4 linked regions of the Arabidopsis thaliana genome follow. The protein of the gene in region 4 interacts with the protein of the main gene of each other region in a pairwise test. Each region holds a gene or a part of one and is shown on either strand. Other genes may lie near its edges.

Region 1 (8,597 bases), on a different chromosome or scaffold from region 4:
TAGATCTCAAATCTTTATTAACGGGACAAGGTCGATGATCTCATGTCCAAAGAGGAATTTTGTGCCAATGAAGTTAGGCCACCTCTTTTATGAAAGGGAAAGAAGGAACATTGGATGGCGTATAAATAAAAATCATGAGGGAGTGACGGTATCATGGAGCCATCTTAAATATAATCATACAATTGATTCGGAAAAAGTATATATGGACATGAGAGTCAAAATCTTATTAAAAATCCAATATAGTAACATAGAAATAAAGTAGATTCGGAAGGCAGTTCGAGATGGCATCAAGAAAAATCTGATGGGTTTGTGTTGCGTTGTACGTTGCACGCAAGAGGACACGTAGAGATATGTAATTAGCTTATCAACTTACAACTATAATTTACACAAACAATCTCATTATTTAATTAACCAAGGCTTAATAATTAGTCCATATATATTTATACATTCATGAATGTGGACGAAACTGATGACTGATGTTGAGACTTGAGAGTTAGGTTTGATTCTTTAACATTCGATATCTCATCTTCCATTTTTCGTTATTACATATTTTGTTGCAAGGAAAACACGATATACCGTATAGAGTTGATGTAGCTAAAGTTTTAATTCAACAATGTAATCTTGATCATTAAAGTATAGATGATTTTAGTGGTTCTACTTGACGTCCCTACAGATAGTAAATGCAATTATCAAAAACATGTCATAGTTACTAAAAGAAGAAGGATGCACAAATACAATCTTTTTGGGTTGGATCAGATCAAATTATATTTGGCTTAAAGACATTGATTACTACGTATATATTAAACAAATGAATAAAATTGACTACCTTTGCTCTCACCCTCACCTGCTGATTCTATACCTAATTAATTATATAATACGATAGCCAACAGTTTCAACATAAAACCACCATCGAAACATACTACTGATATAATATGCATATGGGACAAATGAAAAATGAAAAATATAACGGATGAATAACGAAAAATGAAAAATATCATTAATGATATAATATGCATATGGGACAAAGCAATCTTATCCGTTACGGACTATATAACATATCATTTCTTAATCATATATTATATACGTATATATATAATCGTATATCATCAGTAATATATTTGTTGTAAGAAAAACACATACTGTATATACATGACCAAAAACATTTCGCTTTATGCATTGATGTAAAAAAATTAAAACTATACATAAACACATCAAAAATTACAGACACTTAACAGATGTACCATGTTTTTTTAAGAATCAATAGTTACAAAATTTGAGAAAAAGGTGATATTTTGTCATTTCGTTGGATATGAAGGAACCAATGATAAAACATCGTTAGTTACTAATTCAAACAACAAAAAAAAGAACCCCGAATTTAAATGCTCACCATCGACAAACCTTGGCTATTTATTTTATAAATATAAGACAAGTACTAAATCCTATCAACACTAAACAATAAAATCGAACATGTTCACCCAATTATAATCTGACAGCTGAAGAAGATAAGGAAATACTAAATATAGAGAGGTTCGATGACAGAGAGAAAAAGGTAGACTGAATCACCATCAAAACCACGCCCAAGAACCCTAATTGGGGAAAGTGGCCAAATGAATTCTCGCCACGTGTGGATCTGATGGTGTCAGAGTCGGTAAAGTTTAAAAAAGGTAATGTGTGATGTCTCGATAAGGGCTTTTAAACTGGTCGTTTTGTCTGGGACACTTGTACAGTTTTGGAAAGGAGGACCCATGACTAGGGCATTCTTTAGTTAATTTTAAACTTGATAAATCAGTATTTCGTTTCTATATATTTGTTTATGAAATTCTGTATCATTAGAGAAATCAGATGATGTGGCAATCATTATCTGTTCTCTTTAATCGACCAAAGGTTCGAACAAAATATCATTGTTGGTTATCTGATATAGAGAAAACTAATTTAGAAACCTCGTTTTGAAAAATTCCAACTACAATATGAGATTTGATTCTACAGGAGTTTGGAATATGGGAAAGGGAATTTACAAAAGTGATTGTTGAAACATTACCGATTGTTAAATGGTAATAGACAGCTGAAGCTGCACAATGACATATGGTAAGGAGCTGGGAGCAAAAGACTAAGGACCGAAACGATGCAGATCATCTCGCAAAAGAAGCTTTTCCTCATATTGATCACTGTTGTGTGTTGTGTAATATCCTTTCTGTTTATGGCCTCGTCAAAGGTAATGCTGATTCTAGTTTATTCGTTATTGAAATGAACTTGATTTAGCTTAGCTGTTTACAGAAGTTAAAAAGAAAGGAGGACAAAGGGTTATAGTGTTGAAGACAAACTTATTTTAGCTTCTTTCTATATAGCTTTTTATCCCAAATCCCTTAATTCTCGGATTAACATGAAAAAAACCACTGCCATACCTCCTATGTCCACAGAAACTCATCATGAATCATCTTTTTCTCACTGCCAACAGACCAAATACGAGCACCTCAAAGACAAAGGGACGTCGAACAACAAACCAACATTGATAACAGAGCGTGGTAAATAAGTAATCAAAATAAACTTACTGATGTCAACTTCCATTCTCACGTTTGTGATAAACTCTTTGCGTTTACCTCGTGAATAAAAACAATGCACAGAAGAAATATGAGGACATAAACAATAACCATCCCAACCCAATTACTAGAGAGAGAAAGTGAATACTGAGATCTCTTCCATTAAAGCATGTGAGTCAATAGTGTGTACAACTCTTGATAGCAATAACATTAGGGTCCTAACGAAAAGAGAGAAACACACCTTTCAGTTTTACGGACCACTCATATTTACACATGAATCCGAATAAATGGTACACTAGAATGCCCTGAATCTCCAGGCAACAAAGCAACGCAACTGAGTTAAGAATAGATGAAAGCAAGTCTTTTGAGTAAAAAGGAAAATACCAAAATACGACCAGTCGACTTCCCTGTGTATTTGTTGACATCCTCTCGTCCAAATGATAGCACGTTTTTTCTCAGTTACCGCTTTGGAGGATATGTCGGCATGAAATCTTTGGATTTTGGTAACGGGACTTCATGGAACCAACCATGGTTGAGAGCATCTTCCACTGTTAGACGTTTCTCAGGGTCCAAAGTTAGTAGACTGTTCAGCAAATCAAATCCACGTTCAGAAAGAATTTGACCACCTACAAATGAAATAGCTGGAAACTTCTTACGTAACATATTGTAAGGCTGTGTAGGAAACTTGGCTTTAGCATTCGGAAATGATGAGAACCCAGGCCATATTGCTTCGTTTGGTGTTCCAAGGACCGCAAAGATCTTCTGAAGTTGGTCAAGCTCACTCTTACCCGGGAACAAAGGCTTTTGAGACAACAGTTCAGCCATAATGCAACCCACTGACCACATATCAACTGCTGTAGAGTACTCTTTTGCTCCTAGAAGAAGTTCAGGTGGCCTGTACCACTGGGTAATAACCATCTGGGTGTAAGGCTTGATAGGGCTCCCATACTGGCGCGCCATCCCAAAATCACATATTTTTAACTCCCCACAATTGTTCATCAGAAGATTAGATGGCTTCAGATCCCTGTGGATAATCCAATTTGTGTGGAGGTATTTCAAACCATCCAACAGCTGCATCATCAAGCACTTGACTTCGCTAGTGCTAAAAGGTTCCTTCCTTCTATCCATTACTCCCCTCAGGTCGTGTTCTAAGTGTTCCATGACCATATAAACATCATTATCGTTTTTCCCTCCAACCACAACCTCCTTCACGTTCACAATCGCAGGGTGATTGCATGACAAAAGTATGTTAATTTCCCTCAATGATGTCAAAGGGAATCCATACTCTTCTTCGAACCTATCTTCCTTCATCTTGATCTTTTTGAGCGCAACAATCTCTTTTGTTTTCTCATCCCTTGCTTTGTAAACAATTCCATATGTTCCTTCATTTATCTTGTTTAGCTTCTGAAATTCATTCACAGACCTGCTCCCAAACATCATGTTCATCTCTCCCGGAGTTAAAGAATCTTGATCTTCATGTTCTAACTCATCATGATCAGAACTATAATACTCACGACCAGAATTTCCATCTGCACTAAGCTTCTCTACGCTGAGATGTCCACTGCCAGATCCAGACGAATAGCACTGCTGTTCTTCAGACACCATTACTTCCTCGCACTCCGGTGTCAAACTGCTCCTGTTCCATCTATTAGTCTTGGAAACGTTAACAGATATTAACTCCTCCTTTGGGGAAGTCAAACCTGTCCCCCACCTAGATGTCTTTATATTTGGTTCCTGCATCACTTGTTCTTCCTCCAACAGACCCTCCTTTACATCCTCCTGCATCACCTGTTCTTCCTCCAACTGACCCTCCTCCAAATCATCAACAGGATGTTTCACAGCCAGCAGGGCTTCTGAAGGCTGCACTGGAGCAAGATAACTAGGTTCTGGCGACATCAAGGCATTCACTTGATCGTTTGAAGTAGTCTTACCAGCAACAGCCTGATTGGATATCACAGTTGTAGTCGGAACAGGGAAAGGAGACTTGGTCTTCTCCCTAGATGGAGCTCTACCCACTTTTTCTGCATTCCACACGATGGGTGAAAACTTCCTCCTTTTCTCAGAGGGTCTCTGAACCTCTGCTTCCTCCCGTAGTTCCCCTTTCTCATATGCCAACCGTGATCGGTGACGCCCATCATTCCTCCTGAGATCATGGTCACTAGGCCTTTTGATTTGACGCCTCTCGTCATCTCTACCACTCTGTCGAACATACACATCACGAGAACCATTCCTGTAAAAGTCGTAGTCTTTTTTGACAGCAACGGAACTTCTGGAAACATCAACACCCCCTGCTGCCATCGTATTCTTCTCAATGAGAAATTGATCTTATAGAAATAAAAAAGGATAAAACAAACAAACCCCTCGAAAAAAACCAATCAACGAAACCCAGAATCAAATCACGAGAAGCAGATTTCAATAGATGTTCAATTACTTTTCAACAATTGAACTAGAAAGACGATCAATCAACCAATTAAGAAAAACACCCTTGACGAAATCAGAATCAGAATAATTCAGAAAAAAACGAAACCCTAGAAATTCAATTTCCAGGAACGCGATAATTTTTCTCCTTCCTCTTCTCCGATTCACAAGTACCGGAAGGTCTTACCGGACGGTGAATACGAAAACGGAAGATTGGATGGAGGAGGAGATCGATCTACGAGCCCGATGCGATCGCGAGAAGCTTTTCTCTAAATTTTCCTCTCGGAGACGCGTTTTTCAATTTTGTCAAGTGGCTCTATTATTACTTTACCCTTTGTTTTATAATCGTAATAGGTCGGCTGCTCCAATAATTCCCTTTTCTATTTCACAGATTTATCTAATGTTTGCGGGTGTACCAAAAGAACGTGAGCTACGTATTACAGCCGTTGGATCTAATTAATGAACACGAAACTAGTCGTTTATTGTTTGGACGGTGACGGTGACGAATGACGATGCTATAAATAATAATACTCACGTTGTTAATCGAACGGTCAATATTACATTAAATCTTGTGTAGTAAGAATGTAAGCTACATTTCGTCTGAACCGGTAATTAGATCCCATTTTCACTGAAAACCGACACAATAATATATGAACCAGCCGGTTATCTCAAAGTTTTGATGCATTGCCATCCACAGCGATTTTAGTAAGCTCCCGACGCAGAATCTTGCCAGCAGGATTTTTTGGGATTGCATTTATAAAAGCAACTCGTCTTACCTTCTTGTACGGAGTAACCTACACACAAATAGTTACATAAGCAAACCAAAACATCAAATCTAATTGTTCTGTCTACTTGTACTAAAAATTAATATAACCAACATTCTAGAGCAATGAGCATTACTTGTTTAGCTACGAAATCAATGATTTGCGCTTCGTTGAGATTGCTTCCTGGTTTTCTCACTATGAAAGCCATTGGAATCTCTCCTGCATCCTCGTCAGGGAACCTTGAATTCATGATCCATGTCAGTATCAGAAACACATTTCAAGAAGTTACAAATTTGAGTTTAAAAGACTCACGGAACAACTGCAGCATCAATCACATCTGGATTCGAGTGAAGAATCTGCTCCAACTCTACCGGTGGAACCTATAAGATGACGCTTTTGATTAATATTAAACTCTAAAGACTATATCTTCTTCTTCTGACTCGTAAAATTTACCTGATAAGCCTTGTATTTGATTAGCTCCTTTAGCCGATCAACAATATATAGAAAATCTTCCGAATCAAAATAACAGAGATCACCAGTCTTTAACCACCCTTCTTTGTCTACTGTCTCCGCACTCGCTTTCTCGTTTCCCACATAACCTGTGCCCATTAATCACAGGTTTATAGTCACATCAATGATCAAAATCTTGATGAAGACATTAGACTTCAAGGATCATGAAATCCGACTGAGTCCTAGATTTCTTCTTATATGCTAAGTCATTTAGTGAAAGCTCTTGAATGTTCCTCAAACTATTGCATTTGTTACACAGTCCTAGATTCTTCTATGCAAAGTCACAAGTCTCGATTTAATTTGACACAGTCCTAGATTCTTATATGCAAAGTCACATTAATGGTCAAAGTCTTGATATAATTTGACAGTCCTAGATTCTTATATGCAAAGTCATTTAGTTTACACCAGCTCAGCACATTGCATGTTCCTCAACTATTGCATATGTTTTATGATACCTTTCATGATGACTGGTCCTCGGAGCCAGAGTTCACCAGTTTTTCCCGGTGGCAAGGATTCTCCGGTGGATGGATCAACAATTTTGGCTTCCATATTCTCAGAGATACGACCAACTGAGCCATATTTTACCATCTCTTCAGGTCCAAACGTTGAGGCAGCTGGTCCCGAGCTCTCTGTCAAGCCATAGCCCTGTAAGCCATCACCAAACCAGAAAGTTAAAAGTCATATAAATGATTCAAAATCTTGATGAAAACCAAGTATCATGAAACTGGACACAGTCCTATATACAAAGTCATATTTTGACACTAACTGTCTTATCAGTTATTACCTGTACAATATCTACATCTGGGAATTTCTGCTTAAACCTCTCTGCGATGTCTTTGCCGAGTGGAGCTCCTCCGCAGCCAAGGGAACGCAACGACCGGAGATCGTACTTCTTCGTGAGCTCCGATTTGACCAACGCTACAATCAACGGAGGAGATACAGGCATACCAGTAACCTTATATTTCTCCACCGCCTTAAACATCGCCTCGAGTTCAAATCTCCCTAAAAGCACCAATGTCTCTCCAAGCGAGATGGCTCGAATCATCATCATGAAACCAAACACGTGGAAGAGCGGAAGCGAGAACAGTCCAACGCGATCGTAATTAACCGGATCTTGGAGAGTCCGTTGGTGAGATACGGCGGTCGAGGCGATTAGGTTACGGTGAGTGAGCAAAACGCCTTTGACCCGCCCGGTTGTTCCAGAGGAAAAGAGGATAGCGGCAGGGTCCGATTGGTTGACCTGAACCTGAAATGGATTAACCGATGAAGAATCCGATCGATTTAACCAGGAGAGAAACTCAGTCGAGTCCATCAGAACAGTTCCGAGAGGCAAAGAAGAGGATTGAAGCTTCTTAACCGTCTGCGATGTCGCGAACGCAATTACTGGTTCACTGACTTCGACTTGATGACTCACCTCCGATTCAGATCCGATTGGGTTCGCCGGTGAAACAACAACACCGATCGACATCAAAGCTAAGTAAAGCACTGGTATGTCCAACGAAGAAGGAGAGAGGATAAAAGCGACATTTCTGGAGGCAAGAGAAGGAAATCGCTCCCGGAGAGATACAGCAAGAGAACGAACTCTACGAAGAAGCTCTCCATAAGTGAGGTTATCACCAGAGCTCGAGTTAACTAGGTAGGTTAAGGCTTCAATGTTTTTCCCGGCGGTGGCAGGTGGTGAGGATTTGAGTAGGAGAGAAAGCGCGAATTCGGCGGCGGAGAGAGGTTGATCTATAGGAGGTAGAGAAAGAGAGGGACGAAGACTGTGATAGATTCCTGTCCGTTGATCGAAGCCGGAGCTCCGGTCAATCAAACGGCTGTCGTTGGTTTTCGTCAGCATTCTGGAAGACGATTAGAGATACAGTAATCTTTTCGTCGGCGGTGAACATGCGCGCCTGCGAGAAGATATGAACTCACATAAATTAATGCATACGTGGCAATCCCTAAACCAATCAATGTTTTTTTTTTTTTTTTAACGGCAAATCGATTTTATTATATTGTTTTTTGTTTACAAAACTACTAAACAAAATAACTAAAAAGGCTGTCAAGTATCAACGTTCTTTCGTCAAAGATCTGTGGGCCATAAATCTTTTTACACGTGTCTCATTCTTATTAGTTAGAGCTCAGTGATTTGTACGAATGATGAAATTTTGTACGCAAAACATGGAAAGGAATCTGTACATTTACAGTAGATTTATATGTACACGTGTCTAACGCCGATTGGTTGCAGCTGGACTAGTATTGCTTTGAGGAGCAAGGCAACCGAGCTATACCAATAGACCAGCGTTTGTGACAATCGCTGCCTTGAGAAGCAATGAGCCTGACCTAGAAGAAACCTACAGACCTGTGTTTTCTATGTCGACACATA
Region 2 (7,616 bases), on a different chromosome or scaffold from region 4:
ACTTTAACTTGAATAGTTTCTCTTGATTTTGCTTTGCTAATGATTTGTCTTGGATGTTTGCATTGTAATCTTAGATCGAGAGACATTTTAAAATGCTTCATTGCCACCCTCATCCCCATGATTTTCAAGACACATCCCGGCCACTCCATTGCTCTTACTTCATGGGTCTGCAACGTAAACAAGGAGTTCCAGCAGCAGAAGGCGAGCAATTCGATATCAGAAGAACCGTTGAGGAGTTTAAACACACTGTCAACGCTTACACATTGTGGATTCCAGGGATGGAGATTAGTGTTGGCCATATAAAACGGAGAAGCTTACCTAATTTTGTGTTTCCTGGTGGAGTTAGACCTTCACATACCTCTAAAGGAACATGGGACAGCAATCGCCGTTCAGAGCACAGAAATTCTTCTACATCAAGTGCACCAGCTGCTACTACCACTACTACCGAAATGAGTTCTGAAAGTAAAGCTGGTTCTAACAGTCCAGTTGATGGGAAGAAGAGAAAATGGGGAGATAGTGAAACACTCACCGATCAGCCAAGGAACTCTAAACACATTGCTGTTTCAGTGCCTGTAGAGAATTGTGAAGGCGGGAGTCCAAATCCATCTGTTGGATCAATTTGTTCAAGTCCTATGAAAGATTATTGTACAAACGGTAAATCTGAGCCTATTAGTAAGGATCCACCAGAAAATGTTGTTGCTTTCAGTAAGGATCCACCAGAGAGTCTTCCGATAGAAAAGATAGCCACTCCTCAAGCTCATGAAACTGAGGAGCTTGAAGAAAGTTTTGATTTTGGAAACCAAGTGATTGAGCAGATATCTCATAAAGTTGCAGTCCTGTCTGCTACTGCAACTATACCTCCATTCGAAGCTACTTCAAATGGCTCTCCTTTCCCTTATGAAGCAGTGGAAGAACTTGAGGTTTCTTATTTTTCTTATCAATTTTCGATACATAAATTGTTCTCTTGATCTTATTCCTCCTGTCTGATTTCTCTTTTGTTGAAAGGTTCTTCCCACGCGACAGCCCGATGCGGCACATAGACCTTCAGTACAACAGCGAAAACCGATAATCAAGTAAGTGATTTTGTGTCTATGTTTACTCTTAACGTTTGAATATACATTTTTGGATTTTGACAAAGATTGTTTGTTTTTGTTTGTCTGATTATTCGCAGATTGAGCTTCACGTCTCTAGGCAAAACCAATGGCAAGTAATAATGGCTTTTCCCTACATTGCCAAGAATCTCAGAGCACTTACGGAAATTCGAGATGTTAAGTTGAGGGGTTCTTGTTACTTTATGTCTTATATTTATATGCTTTTCTTAGATGTTGCATGATCTCATGTAAAACTCGTTTGGATAAGATTAATGTAATGTGTTCTTGTCTATGGATCCCAAACACTTTTTCTGTCATAAATAAAAGTCTGGGTTGAGTTTACTTCACATATATATATAAATGCAGACTCAAACGTTAAAACATTGATTCTTAGTTACGTGCGTGTATGCTATATGCTAAATTACTCTCTACCTGTCTTAAATCTACCTAGGCAACAGAAAACATAGATTTCAAACTCTTGATTTCAATCACATAAATAGACCCAACAAAGAATATAAGATCTTAAAAAAAAAAAATTGTGATTGCTAAATGCAAAAACAACAAATATGAATCAAGTATCAGATGATACAGATCTCTATACAGCAAGGTGGCTTGAAAGATCTTGAGCTATCAGAAACCCGACGAGATACAAAAGTCTTTTAAGGCTTGCCATATGCTGCCTTCTTACAGACCGGACAAGCATTCTTCCTCGAAAGCCATTGTTTCACGCAATGGACATGAAAGCTGTGTCCACAGTTCAATTCCCCAACCTCATCCTCTCTCTCATACTCATCCTGTCACCATCAAACAATAAGGAATAGCATTATGAAACTCATGATCTGTCTGAAGTTTCGAGAAGCCATTGACTCAATCTGGAGTTTACCTGACAGATGCTACATTTTCTATCAACAAGAGTATGTGATACGGATGGTTTGATTTTCCCAAGACAACGATGTATCTCGCTTTCTTTTAGTCCAGTATTCACATAACCAATTCTATCACCAAGCTCAAGAAGTTGCTGCGTAGACCAAAGCAAACACACTCGATAAAGTTGAGAAGATGAGATTGCAAGTGTTTTTCTCATGAGATTTTGAAAAACATACCTCGTATGACATGCTATCAACATCGAGCCTCAATTCGTGGTAGTTATCACGGGAATCTGTTATTCTTCCCATTACAAAACCATTCTGGAGCATCCTCATCTGCAGTGAACAGCAGGAACATGACTACACTAGCTGCATGGTTTAGTTCTTTAACTTGCTCACTTGCTATTAGCCATCCAAAACAGTTTTACAGCACCATACAGCACCAAAGAGAACGATTACATTATTTGTCTTCCACTCTATCAGTCACTAGAATATGTAAGAGACAACTCTAGAATAATCTCTTAGTTGATATGAAGCCAAGTGACAAGTCAAACCTTAACATAGTGTTGAGTGTGATCAGTTAATAAACTAAGAAGTCAAATCTATAACATTTACCAGATGCAAGAAAGACAAGGCAACTATTTGGCAAGAACATTCTACCTCGGTAAGATCATCAGGGTAAGAGCGTGGAAGATGGCCACGACATCTACTTGACAACATCGTTGGTTCAGCGCGTGATGATGTCACAAAAGTAGAATCAGAGTTGAAGATATCATGAGAATGAGTTTCTTGATTGAGAAACCGAATGGGAAGAACAGAAGAACCCTGCAGAACATTTGTAGCATTGTGTTATCATTTCTCAAACACTTAGACATGATGATAGATTCCTAATTTTCAAGTCCTCTGAAGCAATGCGTTTCTTTGATCAAAATAAATCCAACAACTCCCCTAACCAATTGAATCCAACCAAAAAGAAACTTAAACAATGCTAAGATTCCATCCTCTAGCTAAACGAGACAAAAGCATGATAAGATTCCATTCTCTAACCAAACCAGAGTTCGATTAGTTTATTGAGCATCAAACCCAAAAGAACCACCCGCACGTCAAACAAAGAAATTTTCTATATTATCCTCACATGAAACAAAAACTAATAATAGAGAACCGCTACATCTAAAGTAGACCCTTATGATTTGTCTAAACGAGAATCCAAACACATATATTAATAAACCAAACCAAACTAACAATGGCCCAGCAATTGGCATAGAGCTAACTACAACCACTAGAGCTCCAACCACTCCACACAGTTTCTGCCTAAACGATACCATTTCCTCAAAGTCAAAGTCAATAACATAATAACACTAAATTCATCATCCAACTTTAGATCAATTTACCAGTGTGTGATTATAATTGTTGTTATCCACATCAATTTTGCGACGAGACGACGGAATATTCCTTCCCCGAGGAGGATCAACCGATCGACCAATTACAGCATCCGTGGAGAAGCCTAATCCAGGTCTGCACCAAACATCAATAACGTCTCTAGCTTCTTCGCTTAAAATCCTAATCGAACCATCTTCGTAGCTTCCTTTATTCTTCTTTTTCTTTTTCTTATGCTTATGCTTCTTCTTCTTCTTATCTTTTCTAATTCTGGCATCCAAATCCGCGGAGTAGCGAATGACGGAGGGAACAGAAACCTCTTGAGCTGCTGCTGCTGCTGCGGCATAGCAACCCATCCCTCGAAACGACGACGTTTGGTACGGTTTCTTCCTCGTGCTTTCGTTGGAGGAGGAAGTCGGGAGGGGAAAGAAGGAAGACATTGCGGAGTTACAGAAGCGATTAGGTTGTGAAATCGGAAGAACGACGTGGCTTAGCGGCGGATCATCGTCGGCGGCGTGGAGATGACGGATTGTTTGGTTTCTAGCTCGTCGGAGTCTGATGTGCTCGCCGATTGTTGTAGAAGACATTCTCAAAGAAAGAAAGTAAAGGAGATAATGGAAATGTGGGAGAGAGAGAGCGAGACACAGTGCGCGGGGAAGGATGAAAGAGAGTGATTTCAAGCTTGATGATGATGATGATACAGTTTTTGTATAATGATTATAGCTTTTCCTATATAATACTATTAAAGATTTTTTAGTTTTTGTTTTTACATGCAACCATTAGTATGAGATTCCAAACAAAATCAGCTCATGCATATCTTTTGTGAATACTACCAAATTAGAAATAATGATTTTATAAGAGATATTGTTTAGGTTAATTTGAGTATTTCTCTGGGTTTTTAACTTTTTTTGGGCAATTTAGTTTAATGATTTTGCTTATTTTTGGTTTTTCTATTCCAGAAAAGTAAATTTTAAAATTTTTAAAATGATGCTTGCTTGTAAAAATAGGAAAGGTGTCAGTCACTACATGACTCTTTTAAGTCGAAACAATCTTGTTAAATAAATAAAAAGAGAGAGAGTGATTAGATATTATTTTGGTAGAGATAAAGAAGAGACACAAAGTCCAGCTGAAACATCCTACGATAAGCTTAAACATCAAAAGACCACTTCTTTGGTTGGTTTTAATATTTGAACAATCCTCGTATACATAAAGTTGGCACTCTTGAGCTTTGAAGACATCCAGCAAAGCCTTGATGGTTGATGCTCATCGCCACGAAGCCTGAACCGTTTTCCTTTCCAATATTACATTATTGTCTACCAGACCCGGTTCAACCAAATCGAACCCGACTACATTTTTGTAACACGAAACCATCCGAGAACGTTGCAAAACTGATTCTAGCTTCATCATTAATAGGCTTTTAAGAGCCCAAAACTACAAATAATAAGCCCACTTCAAACTGATTTTATAGCTTCCACATTAATAGGCCTAATAATGGTCATTTGGATATTATTGAGAATGCAACAAATATAAATGTGAAACATTAAATCAAAGAAAGTCACGCCAAAATAGGTTATATACATATACTTTTAATTTGCATTTTATCAACAAAACTACAATTCAATTGAAAAGAAATTATAAATATTGTAGAAAATTATTTAAATACAAAAGGAAATTATGTAAAGTTAGGTGCATCTGCCACTTGTTGTTATTACCTTATTACAAAAAATGAAAGGAAAAGCTCTAAAGCTTGGCCCGCAAGTCACTTTAGTGTTGTAGCTATAAAAGGGAAGTTGACCTTGGGATAATCTACTCCTCTGCTCTCAACGTCATCTTCTATATTCTATAGTTTCTATTTGTCCTTCGTTCTCTGCTCATCCATCGATGGCGAATAATCATCATCCCAAGGATGAGGCTTATCTCTCATCCGTCATCCCCAAGCGTATCAGGCTCTTCGAGGAAATCCAAGCCGAGCAGCTTGAGCAGCTTCAATCTCGGCCACACGATCCAATCAAGTAAATACGTTTATGATTAATTGTTCATCATTTTCACTAGGGTGCATCAATTTGTTTGCTAAGCTAGGGTTTTGCAATTAGTTGATTTCTGGTTTTTGTTTCACTGCTTAGGATTACTCTTCTCCCCGACGGTATCGAGAAAGAAGGAAGGAGATGGGAGACCTCTCCAATGGACATCGCAGTGCAGATTTCTAAGGGTTTAGCAAAATCTGCTCTGGTTTCTTCGGTTAATCATGTCTTGTGGGACATGAATAGGCCCCTGGAAGGTGATTGTTCCTTAGAGATTTTCGGATTTGACAGCGACCAAGGCCGTAATACTTTCTGGCATTCTAGCGCCCACATTCTAGGCCAGGCTCTCGAGCAGGAGTATGGATGCAAGCTATGTATTGGACCCTGCGAACCCAGAGATGAAGTAAGAGCTTTGTTCTGTGTTTTTTCCCCTTAATTATGTTTCTTTGGCTAAAAGAGTAAAAAAAGGAGGAGTCAATATTGTTTGGTTCTTGGTATTTCATCTGTAATGTTGCAAAGACGGGCTATCTCTGATGGTAATTGTTATTGCAGGGCTTCTATTACGATTCACTTTATTATGGCGAGCTGGGATTAAACGACAATCATTTTCCAAACATCGAAGCAAGTGTTGCATATATATCTTTTGCTGACATCTTTTTTGTTTTGCGGTATGGAATGTAGAATTACCCATTAGAATGGCCGAATTTGGAGTGTTACACCGAAATGAGGACAGTGGAGCACTTGGTGGAATGACCCGTGTCCGACGGTTTGTACAGGTATGTTTGCATCTTTCTGGACTTTTCTTGTGGTAAAATGTTTAAAACTTAAAAATTGATTGCTTTATATAAAGACTAGCGACATTCAAAATGATATCATGATTAGTTAAGCAGCTTATTTGCCATGTTGAAGTGAAGAAGTTACCCCTTTACTTTACTTTACTTAGTAGTTTGTCAATTTGATTTTAACCCTTTTGTGCGCGTGTTGCTTAATTAAATAACATTGTGCATACTTGTTTTCAGGATGATGCACACATATTCTGTAGAGTGGATCAGGTTTGTGATATTTGTTTCTTATGCAGCAACGTTGGAGCTCCTTATCCTCCCAGTTTCTTATTTTATAGAAATATTCTTATCTATTTGCAGGTTGAGGAAGAAGTGAAGGGTGTGTTGGATTTCATTGACTATGTTTACAGAATATTTGGGTTTACCTATGAACTAACGCTTTCAACGGTAGGATATTTTCACATTTCTTCTCTGCCAAACCTAATATACTTTGCATGGTATGGTCACGTATCTCATTGTTTGCATGTTGGTTTCGACTTCAGAGGCCAAAGGATCACATTGGAGATTTGGAAACATGGGCTAAAGCTGAAAATGATCTTGAAAAAGCTCTAGATGATTTTGGAAAGCCATGGGTTGTATGTGTCACTACTTTCTGATGCTTCTACTCAAAACTTTATAATTCATAGAGAGATTCTAAAGTGTGATGTTTTCTGAAGATAAAGGAAGGAGACGGTGCATTTTATGGCCCAAAGATAGACATAACAGTGTCTGATGCCAGGAATAGGAAATTCCAGTGTGCTACTATACAGGTTAGGCTCCCAAACTCTTTTTAGTTTTTTCCTCTGTTTTTTGTTCTTGATCTCTTACAATAAGATTTTGATCCTTATTTGCTTCGTACCAGCTTGATTTTCAACTTCCGGCTTGCTTCAAACTGAAATACCTAAGTGAAAAAAACGAAATGGAGGCACCTGTGATGATACATAGTGCGGTGTTGGGATCTATTGAGCGTATGTTTGCCATATTGTTGGAACATTACAAAGGAATTTGGCCCTTCTGGCTTAGTCCCCGCCAGGCCATAGTTTGCTCTCTTTCAGAGGATTGTAGTTCCTATGCCAAACAGGTTTTCTTACATTCTTTATTTATGAACCCTCACACCTGCAATTCTTGCAGTGCCTAATCTCTAAGCTTTTTGTTTCCTTTGCACGTACATTCAAACAGGTACAAAAACAGATTAATGAAGTCGGGTACTATGTTGATATTGATGAAAGTGACAGAAGCCTCCGTAAAAAGGTAAATTCTTATGATTACAAGCTTTCCAAATGTTTAGGTCTTTGAGCATATTATACAAGTGAGATTATTTAAGGCCATAAATTTTTATCTCGTAAAGGCTAGTTGTCTAAATTTCATTATAAAATAAAGTCGTTTTTTCTTGGTAGATATGAATGTATATATAGAAATTGCAAAGAAAATGCATAGTTA
Region 3 (8,293 bases), 2.1 Mb from region 4:
ACTTTTTAAAACAACTACACGACTTCGAATAATTTTTGTTTCTTAATTTTAATTTCAAATATGGTGCAGTTCTTGTCGATGAAGTTATCGTCAGTGAACACCAGGCTGGACTTTAACATGGACGCTCTCTTGTCTAAGGATGTAAGTCACCGTCACAACATTTATAGTAATTTTAATTGACAATTATTGTAATAATAATTACTTTTTTGTCTTTGTGAACCAATCGTGTGTTTGTTTAAACTAATTTCTTTTGTTTTCTGACAGATATTTCCTTCAAGCAACAATCTAATGCATCATCAACAAGTACTTCAATTAGATTCTTCAGCAGAAACGTTATTGGGTGATCATCACAACAAAAATTTGCAATTGAACCCTGATATTTCTTCTAATAACGTAATAAACCCTTTGGAAACTTCTGAAACTAGAAGCTTCATTTCTCACTTACCAACACTTGCTCATTTCACTGACTCTATTTCTCAGGTTTCCTTTTCTAAAACATTCTTCTATCACTTTTCTTTTCTTTTTCTCTTCAATTTGAAGCGGTCTTAACCCTTTTTGGTTTTGTTTTTAGTATTCAACATTTTCCGAAGATGATTTACATAGCATTATTCATATGGGTTTTGCGCAAAACCGTCTCCAAGAATTGAACCAAGGTAAGAATATTTAAATCATATTTTTTCTTTCCATTTCATTATATAGGCAGGACCGTTTAGATATGATATGTATAAATTGTACTATTATATATGCAGGTTCATCAAACCAAGTACCATCGCACATGAAAGCTGAACTTTGATCAACCACTATATGCATTTTTACAAAAATATTGGCGTTTTAAAGGTCTCGAGGATAGAAAGTAAGAAAAGGATTGATGGGTGTACATAACAAGAAATTTGAATTGGACCACACCATATGCGAATTCATTTCTATAATCATCTTCATATACATAACTTCTTCTTTTTATCCTTCCGATTCATTTGTGGTGCTCAATTGTATTGTCATGTTGTTATCCGCTATTCTTCTTCTTATCAGATTCTTTAAACTTTTCTTGTTTGGATTTAATATCATTGTATGTTTTAACCCCACTATAAGTACTATAGCTATAATTCTTCCGAACAACAAGACTGTTTTTATCAAACCCATTCAGTTCTTGTAACAAAAAAACATCAAACTCTTGAAAACGAAAAAATAATTCGGTTTTCTTATAAAGAGTTTGTATGTGATAAGAAGCTAACAAGGACAGATCATTCCTAGAAAATACACATTTTTGGTGAAGGAAAAACAACAGTGTGTTGCAAAAATTGATAGATACTAAGTAAATTTTCTTATTTCAATTATCAAAACTATATAGCTTCTGCATGTTAGGTGAGATTTTGTAGTTTATTTATGTGTATTATTTCCTTATTTATTTTTGGAAAAGGTATTTAATTATTTGTTAAAGCGTATGAAATGTTAGTATGCAGTTTTTGGTTGGAATACGATTTAACATTGAAACCAAAAAGTTGGTATTGAGTTTTTTTCGGCAGGAGTTACATAGCGTGACAACTATCTTTGTGCTAAATTACATGTGTGTAATTTGCTCAAATGTACTATTTCCAACAAATATAATAGGTACTACAGCATATTCACAAACATCAAATCTTAGCTAAGCTTGACTTTTTCAATATACACTCTCAAGTCTTAATAACTCGTTAACGTCAGTTTCAATGTTAGATCATATTTGATATATGATTTGATCGTTGCTAGTGTTAACCAGCTGTGTAAGGTGTTCTGTCATTTTCTCCATTGTCTTTGTGGGAGTTATTCAGAAAACAAAGATACATTAGAAAGTCTAATATGAGTGGTTATGAGCAAAAAACCAAATTTGATTAATTAGGATTATGATGTAGGGATCACGCCGTGATTGATGGAAACTATATAGAACAGAGAAGCGTCTCTTTCTATTTACCTACTATAGCAAAGAGAACCCGCAACAAGTTATCAATCAAGCAAAAATTAATGTCTAATCAAAAACCATCTATCTCAAGTTGTTGATAATATCTTACATGATCATAAACAATTATACCGCAGACCGGCCGGATACTCGAAAAATTGCAAATACATTGGTCCTGACGGGGTTGAGTGGATCACATACTTGAAAGAAAAAAAAATAGCCGTTTCACACTTATCTTCTTCTGCGTTGGTCGTTTAATCCTGCTTGAAAAAATATTCGTTAGAATGGGCCACACAATCAATACGCACTGTGAAAGCTAAATTTACGAATCTTAAATATGCTATGGGCTAGTTCTAAAACTTTTTAATCTGTAGAATTTTAGTGAGCTCTTTGTGTGGTGCTTTATTTGTCGGCCCAACTAAACACACGCTAACAATTCCTTTTTTTTTTTCTCTCACATTTTATTTTTTTAATAATAAAAAAAATAAATGTTACGGCATGGTTATATCATATATTTTAATTTCATGGAGGATATTAGATTGTTCCCATTTTCTATTCATCATATTAGATTAAATAATTAGAAAATACTATTTTTCTGTCTCTATTGTAGTGGTATGTATGATTGGAGAGTTGATGAAAATGTAAGCAAGTAAAATCATCGTGCAGATCGCGATGCTATGTTTATTATCATATATGCTTAAAGGATCATTTGAGATTAATACCGCAATCAGCGGGTGAGTAAGAAACTTAAAACACATAACTACTCTCTTTGTCAATGGAAGACCCTCTTAAGCATCTAACACATGATTCGTCTAGACAACCATTTAACTCTAATTATATCCCCTAATTGATATTAATTAAATCAAGAGGACAAAAAAAATTAAATCACTTATAAATATTAATTTTATAGATGTATATTTTAAAAAAGAGAAAAAAGAAAAGAAATGGGAGGAAGACACTGGGACGAAAGACGACGTCATCTATTGTTAGTAAGTTTAGCCCAATCGTGTTCTCTCTGCGCTTGTCTCCCAAATTCTCAGATCTAATCAGATCGACGATTCCTGATTTCATCAGCTTCGAGAGAGATCCTTCTTTTGTTCTTCGTTGAATGTCTCGCTCCCAGAACGAGGAGTTTCAACAATGGTGGAACAAGCAACGAGATAGGAACAATCACGACGTTCTTTACGCCGGCGACGATGAAGCATTCCTCACCGTTGAAATCCGTACTCCGGCCACCGTTGACCCTGATAAGGATCGGATCCGGACTCGTACCGTTCGTCAGCTCTCTCGTCTCTACCTCCTCAAGTTCAAGCAACTCGCATCTTCCTTCCTCTGGATCGGTAACTCTTTCCTTTACCTTGTTCGCACCGCCAATCGCCGCATTGCCAACGATAATCCTCCATCCGTGTCTTCCTCCGCTAGATTGTACCGTTTAATCAAGGGATTTCTCGTTGTTGTTGTGCTTCTTCTCTGTTTCGAGCTTGCCGCTTATTTCAAGGGATGGCACTTCACACCTCCCTCTGTTGCCTCCGCCGAGGTCGCTGTGGAGGTGGTTTACGCTTGGTGGTTGGAGATCAGGGCGTCTTACCTTGCGCCACCGCTTCAGAGCTTGACCAATGTATGTATAGTTCTCTTCTTGATTCAATCGGTTGACCGTCTGGTGCTTGTGCTTGGATGCTTCTGGATCAAGCTCCGCCGTATTAAGCCTGTTGCATCTATGGAGTACCCGACTAAATTGGTTGGAGAGGGAGTTAGATTGGAAGATTATCCAATGGTGATTGTTCAGATTCCTATGTGCAATGAAAAGGAGGTAAGAACATGTATGTAGGTCTCTAATCCGTAGTTGTATCTAGCTGTTTGAAGTTGAATTGGGAATCAAGCATCTCTAGGTAGGATTTGTTGCTATGTTGACCCGTAATCTCTAAGTGTTTCTTATGCGGTTTCATATCTGAAACTTATTGATAGTTTTAAATATGTTTACTTTGATCTGCCTGCTTATTCGTATTTAAATCCTTGCAGTTCCGGTTCTGTTATCTCATCTCGTTGATTTTGGTTTGTGGCACTTGCAGGTTTACCAACAATCTATAGGAGCTGTGTGTATGCTTGACTGGCCAAGGGAAAGAATGCTAGTTCAGGTTCTTGATGACTCCAGTGAATTGGATGTTCAGCAGCTTATAAAAGCGGAAGTACAAAAATGGCAACAAAGGGGTGTTCGGATAGTGTATAGACATCGTCTCATACGTACTGGTTACAAGGCTGGAAACCTTAAAGCTGCAATGAACTGTGAATATGTCAAAGACTACGAGTTTGTCGCCATATTTGATGCAGATTTCCAGCCACCTGCGGATTTCTTGAAGAAAACTGTGCCTCATTTTAAGGTAAACAATCATGTCTTTTTGTCTCATGTTCATAGGAGAATGTTAGGTGACCAGTTGGCTTTAGAAAGTGGTTATACCCTGAGCTTAATGGTATTCGGTTAGAAGTTGGCAGTGGGAAAAATGACATATATGGCATAGCGTGTCTTCCACTACATATGTGTGTCTTGATTGCAGTGGTTCTAATGTTCTATGATGAAAATCTGATGAAAACCACATACTGAGAACAGTGATACAATATGCTTGCCACACTAGCCTATCTCACCCGACAGTTTCTGTGTTTTTTCAGGGTAATGAAGAATTAGCCTTGGTCCAAACACGGTGGGCTTTTGTGAACAAAGACGAAAACTTGCTTACAAGACTCCAGAACATAAATTTGTCTTTCCACTTTGAAGTTGAACAGCAGGTCAATGGTGTTTTTATTAACTTCTTTGGCTTTAATGGAACTGCTGGTGTTTGGAGAATCAAAGCCCTCGAGGATTGCGGGGGATGGTTGGAGCGAACAACTGTTGAGGACATGGATATTGCCGTTCGTGCGCATCTTTGTGGATGGAAGTTCATTTATCTGAATGATGTTAAGGTACTTATGTTAACTAAATTGCTCAGAAGTTTCCTGTTATTTACCAGATGTTAGAAAACAGAACTTTTTGATATCATCCAGCTGTATTTTCCTTCCTCAGTGTCTCTGTGAACTTCCGGAGTCCTATGAGGCATATAAAAAACAGCAATACCGCTGGCATTCGGGTCCAATGCAACTGTTCCGTTTGTGCTTCTTTGACATTCTTCGGTCAAAGGTGAAATTGAGAATTATATTGAGACTGTTTTCCTCTTGCTCTTCCTTGAGAATATTTTATGTTTATGAAGTTTTCATATTGATAGCTCGGTCTGATCTTAATCTGGCATTTTTTTTTCTCTACTACAGGTGAGTGCTGCCAAGAAAGCAAATATGATATTTCTCTTCTTCTTGCTACGGAAGCTTATCTTGCCATTCTACTCATTCACGCTCTTCTGCGTCATTCTTCCATTAACGATGTTCTTCCCAGAGGCTAACTTACCATCTTGGGTTGTTTGCTATATCCCTGGGATCATGTCCATCTTAAACATCATCCCAGCCCCAAGATCCTTCCCTTTCATAGTTCCGTATCTCCTTTTCGAAAACACCATGTCAGTTACCAAATTTGGAGCCATGATCTCTGGTTTGTTCAAGTTTGATAGTTCTTACGAGTGGGTAGTCACCAAAAAGCTAGGGAGATCCTCTGAGGCGGATCTGGTTGCATACGCAGAGTCCGGCTCTTTGGTTGAGTCCACAACCATCCAACGATCATCCTCTGATTCAGGTCTGACCGAGCTTAGCAAACTAGGAGCAGCAAAGAAAGCTGGCAAAACCAAAAGAAACCGTCTGTACAGAACGGAAATCGCACTCGCGTTTATCCTCTTGGCAGCCTCGGTGAGAAGCTTGTTGTCTGCGCAAGGGATCCATTTCTACTTCCTCTTGTTCCAAGGAATCACGTTCGTTATTGTCGGTCTAGATTTGATCGGGGAACAGGTCAGTTAGTTTATATAACCCTTTTTCTCAGTTTAAAACTACATTGAACCATACCACCAGAAGAACGAACAAGACCCAAAGATCAAGTCAGGAAGGAACGAACCAACTCACTCGCAGGTCTTTTCGTTACAGATAGATACATAAAAACAATTCATTTAAAGTTTCTGTCTTGGGAACATGATTTTATACTCTACTTGGGTTGGTTTAGATTCTTCCTTTTTTTACGGATAGTATTAGAGAATGGCAGAAACAACCGTCGGAGAGGATTCCAAAGACTTGCCTACCTGTCTTTGTTGTGGTATTAAGCCAAACCTTGGTTTTTTTGTTGTGCAAAAATTGTTGTTAGGTTGTTGGTTTTTTGTTTCGGATGATGTGGCAGAAACATATTTTAAGCTTTGCTCTAATGCCACTCTCAAATTCTTTGTTGTTGTTGTTTCTCTCCTAAGGGTTCATTTATTTATATACACACTTCTGAATTGAAATGTACCATTTCTTTTTTAAATCTGTTGTCTTCATCTTTTAGTATTTGTTATGCTAATTTTGGGCCTCTTCTATCTTAAGTTATAAGGACCAGAATCTGTTTGACAATCTCTTGTATGATTTAAGGCCCAATTTCCCTCAGCTCTCTTAGATCAAGCACAAATGATTCGAGTTTTGTGATTGAATTTATACGAGGAACTTTTTTTCCATAAAAAGTCAAAACACAGATGTTAAAAATTGTCCGACTGCAAAATGTATAATGTACAAACATATGACATATGTTTCGACCTAACAAGTCTATTGCATGTATTCCTGCCTCGGAGGGCGTAAACCCAGATAAATCATTGCAGGCTTGAAAGAAAATCGTTGATAAAAAACACTGTTGAAAACAACTTATCAAACAATTTACATTGAAGACGATATGCTAAATTAAATATTTCCTGACAGATATAAACCCAGACCTAATATTAATGTACTCCAGCAGAGAAAATATCTAACAAAGTGGAAATCTCAGAGACAAAGAAAAAAGGATAAAAGGATAAAAGGAAGAAGAAAGAGAGAGCTTGTCCGAGAAGGACTAATAATGGCGTTTTTTTTGTTTCCGAATAATTATGGAAATCTTCTCTCAGATATTCATATCTCTATCCGACTCGTACATGGTACACGTATCTATACCCGCAGAAATCGAAACTATCATACCTATAAATTTTAGATTATTCCGGTTGAATATAGGTTGGTCGGTTTACCGGACCAGAAATTTATGATTTTTTAATCATTATTATAAGAAAAATGGGATCTAGAGCATAATGTCACGTCACATCATTAAAGCATGAGAACGTTACTTTTTCGTTTTTCTCAACGCTCATTAAAGCTTTTTTAGTTTCTTTATTACAAGACGACCGTTGAGATTTGTTCAGAATTAAGACACCAATAAACAGTCTTGTACTACTTAACTTACATAACCTTTTCATCACATAAATCTCTTCGTGCCAACTCGTTTAGAGCCCCGACAATCACACTTTTAATACTTTTTCTAAGAATCAACGTTTATAGTACTACAATGAACAGTCAACGAGAGTTTCCTGAGAATCTGTCAATATTTTGTTCCGTTCATTAACAACGAGAGTTGAACTAAAAAAATCCATAGAGAACAATTCTTCATTTATCCACCTACTTCATTTCCCACGAAGCATAAGGGTCCATAAATAATCTCAACGACATGTTAATTATTAGACCATGAAAATTTCTTTAATTATTAACCTTTGTAGACAAAATGTGAGAAATGTTTTTAGCAATAGTTTATATCATTTAAGATTTAAAATTATATTTAACACCAAAAACAGAAAGAATATTTTTCACTAAAACATAATTTATTTTAAAACAACCTTTAAGAATTGGCTAGAAACAGAGTTTTTCAATTAATATAACCATTCAGACTAACCAAAAAAAAAAAAAAGAGAAGACGTCGTAGTAATCGTACACTTAAAAAATTGAATATAACTAGTAAATACAAAAGTTAGTAATACATTGTATCTTTTGTTGATTTAATACTCAAAAACAGGCTTTTGTACAGGAACACGTAACACTAGCCATTAAATATCTCCACTCTTCTTTCTTCTTACCAAATTACTCAATCCATCTCCCTCTCTTCTTCTCCTTCTCCAAACAACAAACCAAAGCTTCTCTCTTTTCTTGCTTCAGAGAGACCTAGAAGAGTTATCAACATGAGTCTTCTTCTACATCTCTTTGCTCTGTCTCTGCTCATCTCTGTTTCAGGTAAGCTCGAATCACCTACATTAATGGCGGCTTACTATTTCCTTCAAAATGTTAATCCTCTCTGTGTTTTTTTTTCCACAGGAGCAAAGTTCTCCGGCCGGCCAGGAATCAACTATGGCCAGCTCGGAAACAACCTCCCGTCACCGTCCGACTCAGTCAACCTCATCAAGTCCCTAAACGCGAAAC
Region 4 (6,021 bases):
ACCTTTCTCATTTTTCAACCAACTTTTCAGCTACAAAGTGGAGAGAAGGTGGTAGCGGACAACATGTTGAATATGATCAACGTCCTGATATGTTTAGGTAATATATTTTCTACTGTTACCTAATATAATTTGTTTTATACTCGCTCTTACCTTTTGTTGAATCTCTCTCTTCTTAATTTTTATAGAGGGACAGTTAGATACGCAAGTGCACATGCTCATTTAGGGAGAACTGCTAGCAGAAGGGATGATCTGGAATCATTAGCATATACACTGATCTTTCTTCACCGAGGTAGATTGCCATGGCAAGGATATCAGGTACTGCAGACCTATCATTTTGTTTTGTAGAATCATGTTGTTGCATGATTCTTTCTCTGCTAATCCTGTCTCTTACTCAATTTTCAGGGAGATAACAAGTCATTCCTTGTTTGCAAAAAGAAGATGGCAACATCGCCGGATATGCTTTGTTGTTTTTGTCCCCCTCCTTTCAAACAATTTCTTGAGATCGTGGTAAATATGAAATTTGATGAAGAACCCAACTATGGAAAGTTAGTATCTCTGTTTCAAGACCTCTTGGGCGAAAATCCGGCAATTAGGCCTATAAACACAGAGGGTGCTCAAAAGGTGACATTTTCATGCTGTATATCTTTCCCTTTCGTTCCTATTTGGATATCTAGGAGTTGTTGTTTAACATCTTGTAATTGTTTTCTTTTGTGCTAGATCATATTCCAAGTTGGCCAGAAGCGAGGTAGGTTGAGCATTGGGGAGGAAGAAGAAGATGCCCCTAGGAAAAAGGTCCGTCTAGGAGTCCCTGCAACGCAATGGATATCGATTTACAATGCCAGGCAACCAATGAAGCAGAGGTAAAAAAATTCATGGTTAATTATTTATACAGTCAGTTAACTGCTGGGACTGCGTTTGTGTCTCATTTTTTCTCTTGGTTATATTATAATCTTGGATTTTTGGCCTTAATGTGTCTAAAACTATTTTTGGACTCACAATTTATGTGTTTAACCAGGTATCATTATAATGTGGCTGATATAAGACTGGCACAGCATATTGAGAGAGGTATTGCAGATGGTTTGTTGATAAGCTGTGTATCATCATGTTCGAATCTCTGGGCATTGATAATGGATGCTGGAACTGGCTTCACGCACCAAGTCTATGAACTCTCTCCTGTATTCTTGCACAAGGTTGTCTGATGTTTCTCTGTTAGTTATTTTTATATCTGTGTTCTGTCAAGATGATCTTACCTGAGAGTGAATTCTGTTTTGAATCAGGAATGGATTATGGAGCAGTGGGAGAAGAACTACTACATTAGTTCTATTGCTGGTGCAAGCAATGGAAGCTCCTTAGTTGTCATGTCAAAAGGTATCTACACTTTTCATGAATACTTTTGAACACTTTCGTCATTATGGTATTTTACTAGTCTCTGAATTTGTGGCTTATTCTATGTTTGGTTTTCAAATGAATTATGAAGGTACGCAGTATACACAGCAGTCTTACAAAGTAAGCGATTCATTCCCGTTCAAGTGGATAAACAAGAAATGGAGAGAAGGCTTCCATGTAACCTCAATGGCAACAGCTGGAAATCGATGGGGTGTTGTTATGTCCCGCAATTCTGGCTACAGTGAACAGGTTAGACTTCACCGATATAGATGAATTTCTTCCGTTTCCTTCAGTTTTGGATCTGTCGCGTTGATTTCTAATTCTCCTGTTTTCGCTTATATCTCCTCTACAGGTTGTGGAACTTGATTTTCTGTATCCAAGTGAAGGCATCCACAGGCGTTGGGATGGTGGATTCAGAATCACATCAACAGCAGCCACAACCGATCAAGCTGCTCTCATCCTAAGCATCCCACGTCGTAGACTTGTTGATGAGACACAAGAGACGTTACGTACCTCTCAATTCCCCAGCACACACGTCAAGGTGAGTAGAGCAGCTATAAAAGATTACTAATCAATATCTTGAACTCTTTTTCTCCCTTCCCATGAACAATACCGGAGATGCAATTTTCTGTTGTGCAGGAAAAATGGGGAAAGAATCTCTACCTTGCATCGTTAAGCTATGGCCGAACTGTATCTTGAGACTTATTAGTAAAAACTGTTGAAGGACGAGAGAAATATGTTTCTAAGTCTCGGCTCCTATTCCTTATCCAACCCTATGGCCTCTCAGGCTCTGTTGTGCTTCTTCTTTTTTTTCAGTTGAATTGTGAAGCAAAAATGTGGTGATTGTGTTGTTTATTCCCCCCTTGTGAAGGGGATTGAGCCATAATCACCAGTTTACCTACACATTTCCCTCGAAATTGCTATATTTAATTTTTAAATCAAGAAAAGATATTTTTGTCACCAAATATTCTATAGTTGTCCAATTCTGTAACCTAATTATCGAATTCATATCGAAACAGGCTGTTCTCTCCATACACGACCTGAAACCTTCAACTTCAGCTCCTTGTCGGTGGTGTTGTTGTCGGTAGAGAAGAACAAAGCCAATTTGCGAGTGATGATTAAGCCATCTTGACTATCACGAACCGTCTTGTGACTGTCACGAATGCTCCTCGGCACGCCTTGCCATGTCAGCTTTCTGCCATTCCCTCCGACCTGCAAACTATAGCTGAAGCTCATTGCCTCTTCTTCATCTCCCATAAACTGCATGAAGGCCATGTACATTGGTGTTTTCCTCAGGTGAAACGCTTCGAAGTACAAGCAGAATTTTCGACCACAACAATCGAGAAGCTGCATCGTTTCAAGTGGGTTAAAACTTAAAAATTCACAAAGTTGCAGAAACAGAGCAAGATAATCAGTTATATAACTTACTGTTAACATCCAAGTAGCATGATGAAGATGTTTAGGATCATGATGAACATATCTGTGACTGAAACTACGCCCATCACTCATTTCAACATTGTGATCATTCCTTAGATGCAGTAGTAGCCTTTGAATATCTCCTGTGACATCACACTTGGCTCCTGAGTGTGGACAATTGTACGGTTTCTTCTTAGGGTTTTCGATGTGGTCGTTGGGACACTGCAATAGGATCTGTATATTACTTGTTGTGTTCTTATTGTAGTAGTATCAATATGATATGATATACATACCTCGTAGATTGCAGAGGATATCTGGTTTGTATGAACCGGAAAATCGAGCAACTCATGAACCCGAGATTCCACCTGAAGGTCATTGATTCGAGGTTCCATTTCGCAGGAATTAATGAATTCACAAGCCAAGTGATGAAGTGAAAGAGGAGAAAGGTGTACGTTTGTACATATGTACATACAATCAACCACATAGATACGTTTACGTTGTGTCAAGTTTCAACGTCCAATAATTGGAGACAACGTGGAGTAAATGGTGGATATAGGAGTTGGTTCCGGAGATTACGTACGTCAAAGAGCTTAATTGTAGGAGAGAAAATAATACAAACAAAAAAACATATAGTAACATGACTTGGGATTGAAATTACAAATTAGTCAAGGTTCTTAGTTACACGACACTCTTGAGTTGGAGTTGTCATAGCAAGTATCCAATTGGGTCTTGCAAGTTGTAACCATCCAAATCAAGATGCCAAGTGGACAAATGTCTCTTAGCCAAATCAAATCATTGCTACTGATTGATCTTTTAGTCACTCATGGTCAAGCTAAAGAAATTGCATGAGAAAAAAATAAATTTCCAAAGATGAAAGATCTAGCCTGCAACATTACATTGATTACTCTGTTTCTGATTAACTCAAAACCGCAAGATAACAGAATCTAAACTACAGGACTTTCGGATGTGAATAAAAGCTAAAAAGAACGATACAATCCGAGCTTCGTTTATGTCTCTATCCTCCTGGAAACTTGTTGTAAGATGAGAAAAGAAAACTGTCATAAAGGCAATGAAAGACCTGCAATTCCAAAGAAAAGATTCATGTCAATCTATTGAACTAACTAAGCAACGAAACTCTATCAAAACCAAACTTAGAAGTAATGTGTGATTTTATCAGTTCAGATCCATACACAAACATAAAAGGGTTCAACTTCATCAGATTTACAAATGATGATGCTATATGATCACATACTTCTGTTGCTGTCAAGTTTATCAAAGGAACTTATGTACATCCTTATCCGTAGAGCTAACTATCGGATTCAAATTGATGCATCATCACATTTATCGCCATATACACAGTACAAAGGATACAAATTGCAACACAGAGAAACAACAGAATGTGTTGTGTGCTGATACACCTATGTAAAGTAAACCCAAATGGTAATTCCAGTGCTCAAGAACAAAACAAAAACTGACCTTGAGGAACTAATCCCCAGATTTTGGATTCAACGGACAAACTTGAGACGAGCCTGGACGATGCTATAGCACTGTGCAGAGGTATCATCGAGCTCAACTCCACTGGTAATCTGAAAACAACCATCCAACAAGTTCATCAAATTTGTAATTTTGCTTAGAAAGATTTTGACTTTGTTGATTCAGATTTCAAAATTATCAGCAAGTAATCTACATTGTTGCAGACCCATTGATAGTGAGGAAAAAAGAAGGTTTTTGTCTTCTCCATTTGATAGTGTGAAATGATACAAAAGACAAACCTTGAAGATCGATTGAGACGACAACTAGTTGCTGAGGAAGGTGATGCAGATTTGATGGGAGAGGGGAGTGATGAAACATTGGCATTCTTGTTGCTGAGATTTTGACATAGAGACTTTAATCGAGACGAGAATCTGCCTAACACTCTTGAAGATGCCATTGCCAGGAAGAAGCAAAATTCAGATGTGATCGGAGATTTTAGGGCTTAAAGGGTTCTTAGTGAGCTAGGTCCCGGGTCGGGTTACAGGTTAGTTTACGGGTCGGGTAAGTAAATAACTGAAAAAGCCAAAATTATTTGATAAGAAGACCGGTGTCGAATTTAGGGCTGGAAGACAATTCTCGATCACTTCTTTTCGCAAATTCTCTTGAGTGTGACAAAATCGGAAACTGCGAGCTCTGAATTCGTAACCCTTGATGTAAAAACTCAATCTTTCTTCCCACTGTTCTGTTTTGTTCTATTTTCGATCGAACACAAAGTTGTTATTTTTCGAGCCCTTTATCTTTGTAATAACTGATTCCGTTTTCATTGTATATGTCTGTTTATTGAAGTTTCAGCTGAGGAATCAGTTACGAAATGGGAAGCAGAGGTAATCGTGTGGGAGAAAGATGGAATGAGATGGATTGTGATGAGAAATCGAGTGTGATTCAGGAAGAGATCAAAAGGGTTTGTAAACTTCCATCAAACAGTGTTTATGCAGTTCATCGTCTCAAGGTTCTCAACAAAATCAACGACCTTTTATCTGTCCAAGTAAGTCAATCCTCTTCTTCTTCACATTACTACTCTATATGAAACACCTTTGAAACTAACTAACTTATGTTTCTTTGTTGGACAGAGAACATTGTCTCAAGAGAAGGAGTTGGAATTGCTATTCACACAGCTCTCCTTGTAAAATCCAGATTTTGATGTATAAGGAACTAATGTAATATAACTTTTTACTCGAGATTGCTTGTTGATTAATGACATGGCAACAAGCTAGTTTCTTAAGAAGTTGGTGTTTATTGGTTTTAATTGTATGTTTTAGTTTTCCCTTTGTATTGATCAATTGGATGAGGATGCAATGAAACGGTTTGAGTTTGAAGTTGAGAATAATATACCACAGTTTGTGGGATGAGTTTCCTTTAGGCCGTAACATATTTCCCGATAGTGACACTCGGATGATGAAAACCCACAAGTCGCTCAAATTGGAAGTAAATGGCACATTCAGAGAAGAAGTGAGACGCCCATTAATCGTTAGGAATGGAGTTGTATATTGGTCTTGCATTCAAAGAAGCTATGTTTTGAAGTGCGAGAGATGGGAGCAATCCAAGCTAAGCTATAAGCGTGGCATGGGTGGAATTGTCCTTGGCGCGAATGTGGGAGAAGGTTTGTGAATGGTTGCATTTGTGTACTCCAAATGGGTAAATTCAAGATGTTAAAAAGGTTGTTCAAGGATAAAGCTGAGGGAAGAC

The links.
Region 1: the proteins of AT3G13672 (region 4) and AT5G63370 interact in a two-hybrid assay, tested with the Arabidopsis thaliana proteins (one large-scale study listed by BioGRID).
Region 2: the proteins of AT3G13672 (region 4) and AT1G17970 interact in a two-hybrid assay, tested with the Arabidopsis thaliana proteins (one large-scale study listed by BioGRID).
Region 3: the proteins of AT3G13672 (region 4) and CSLC6 interact in a two-hybrid assay, tested with the Arabidopsis thaliana proteins (one large-scale study listed by BioGRID).

The regions. Positions count from the first base shown.
Region 1 is NC_003076.8:25,381,958-25,390,554, forward strand, and holds AT5G63370 (Protein kinase superfamily protein), read right to left. Parts: upstream 5,305-8,597; 5' UTR 4,836-5,304; coding exon 2,997-4,835; 3' UTR 2,531-2,996; coding exon of another isoform or gene 2,346-2,530; 3' UTR 2,213-2,345; coding exon of another isoform or gene 2,083-2,212; 3' UTR 1,853-2,082; downstream 1-1,852. Other genes in the region: AT5G63375 (uncharacterized protein), read left to right, coding at 2,083-2,212, 2,346-2,530; AT5G63380 (AMP-dependent synthetase and ligase family protein), read right to left, coding at 5,624-5,749, 5,856-5,958, 6,032-6,099, 6,173-6,318, 6,685-6,874, 7,014-8,069; AT5G63390 (O-fucosyltransferase family protein), read right to left, coding at 8,555-8,597. UniProt on the Arabidopsis thaliana protein: Cyclin-dependent kinase involved in pre-mRNA splicing. Required for the correct splicing of the sixth intron of CALS5 pre-mRNA. May stabilize the binding of U1 snRNP to this rare type of intron with a GC 5'SS.
Region 2 is NC_003070.9:6,181,337-6,188,952, reverse strand, and holds AT1G17970 (RING/U-box superfamily protein), read right to left. Parts: upstream 4,237-7,616; 5' UTR 3,922-4,236; coding exon 3,349-3,921; intron 2,783-3,348; coding exon 2,618-2,782; coding exon of another isoform or gene 2,546-2,617; exon of another isoform or gene 2,294-2,545; coding exon 2,195-2,293; intron 2,110-2,194; coding exon 1,975-2,109; intron 1,886-1,974; coding exon 1,751-1,885; 3' UTR 1,480-1,750; downstream 1-1,479. Other genes in the region: PAPS1 (poly(A) polymerase 1), read left to right, coding at 75-920, 1,006-1,073, 1,172-1,211; AT1G17960 (Threonyl-tRNA synthetase), read left to right, coding at 5,216-5,346, 5,458-5,758, 5,908-5,980, 6,037-6,131, 6,375-6,407, 6,498-6,584, 6,680-6,772, 6,854-6,946 and 2 more.
Region 3 is NC_003074.8:2,333,688-2,341,980, reverse strand, and holds CSLC6 (Cellulose-synthase-like C6), read left to right. Parts: upstream 1-2,812; 5' UTR 2,813-3,038; coding exon 3,039-3,740; intron 3,741-3,999; coding exon 4,000-4,308; intron 4,309-4,594; coding exon 4,595-4,885; intron 4,886-4,985; coding exon 4,986-5,099; intron 5,100-5,227; coding exon 5,228-5,860; 3' UTR 5,861-6,369; downstream 6,370-8,293. Other genes in the region: AT3G07340 (basic helix-loop-helix (bHLH) DNA-binding superfamily protein), read left to right, coding at 70-141, 265-480, 572-653, 750-793; AT3G07320 (O-Glycosyl hydrolases family 17 protein), read left to right, coding at 8,056-8,107, 8,189-8,293. UniProt on the Arabidopsis thaliana protein: Probable beta-1,4-glucan synthase rather involved in the synthesis of the xyloglucan backbone than cellulose. Seems to work simultaneously with xyloglucan 6-xylosyltransferase.
Region 4 is NC_003074.8:4,471,150-4,477,170, forward strand, and holds AT3G13672 (TRAF-like superfamily protein), read right to left. Parts: upstream 3,216-6,021; 5' UTR 3,195-3,215; coding exon 3,096-3,194; intron 3,025-3,095; coding exon 2,392-3,024; downstream 1-2,391. Other genes in the region: AT3G13670 (Protein kinase family protein), read left to right, coding at 31-97, 186-315, 403-621, 718-860, 1,016-1,190, 1,278-1,368, 1,478-1,635, 1,739-1,927 and 1 more; AT3G13674 (uncharacterized protein), read right to left, coding at 3,861-3,880, 4,279-4,388, 4,575-4,732; AT3G13677 (uncharacterized protein), read left to right, coding at 5,147-5,320, 5,408-5,458, 5,653-5,943. UniProt on the Arabidopsis thaliana protein: Probable inactive E3 ubiquitin-protein ligase that plays a role in regulation of autophagy. Upon starvation, involved in maintaining ATG6 homeostasis by competitively associating with ATG6, a component of the autophagosome complex.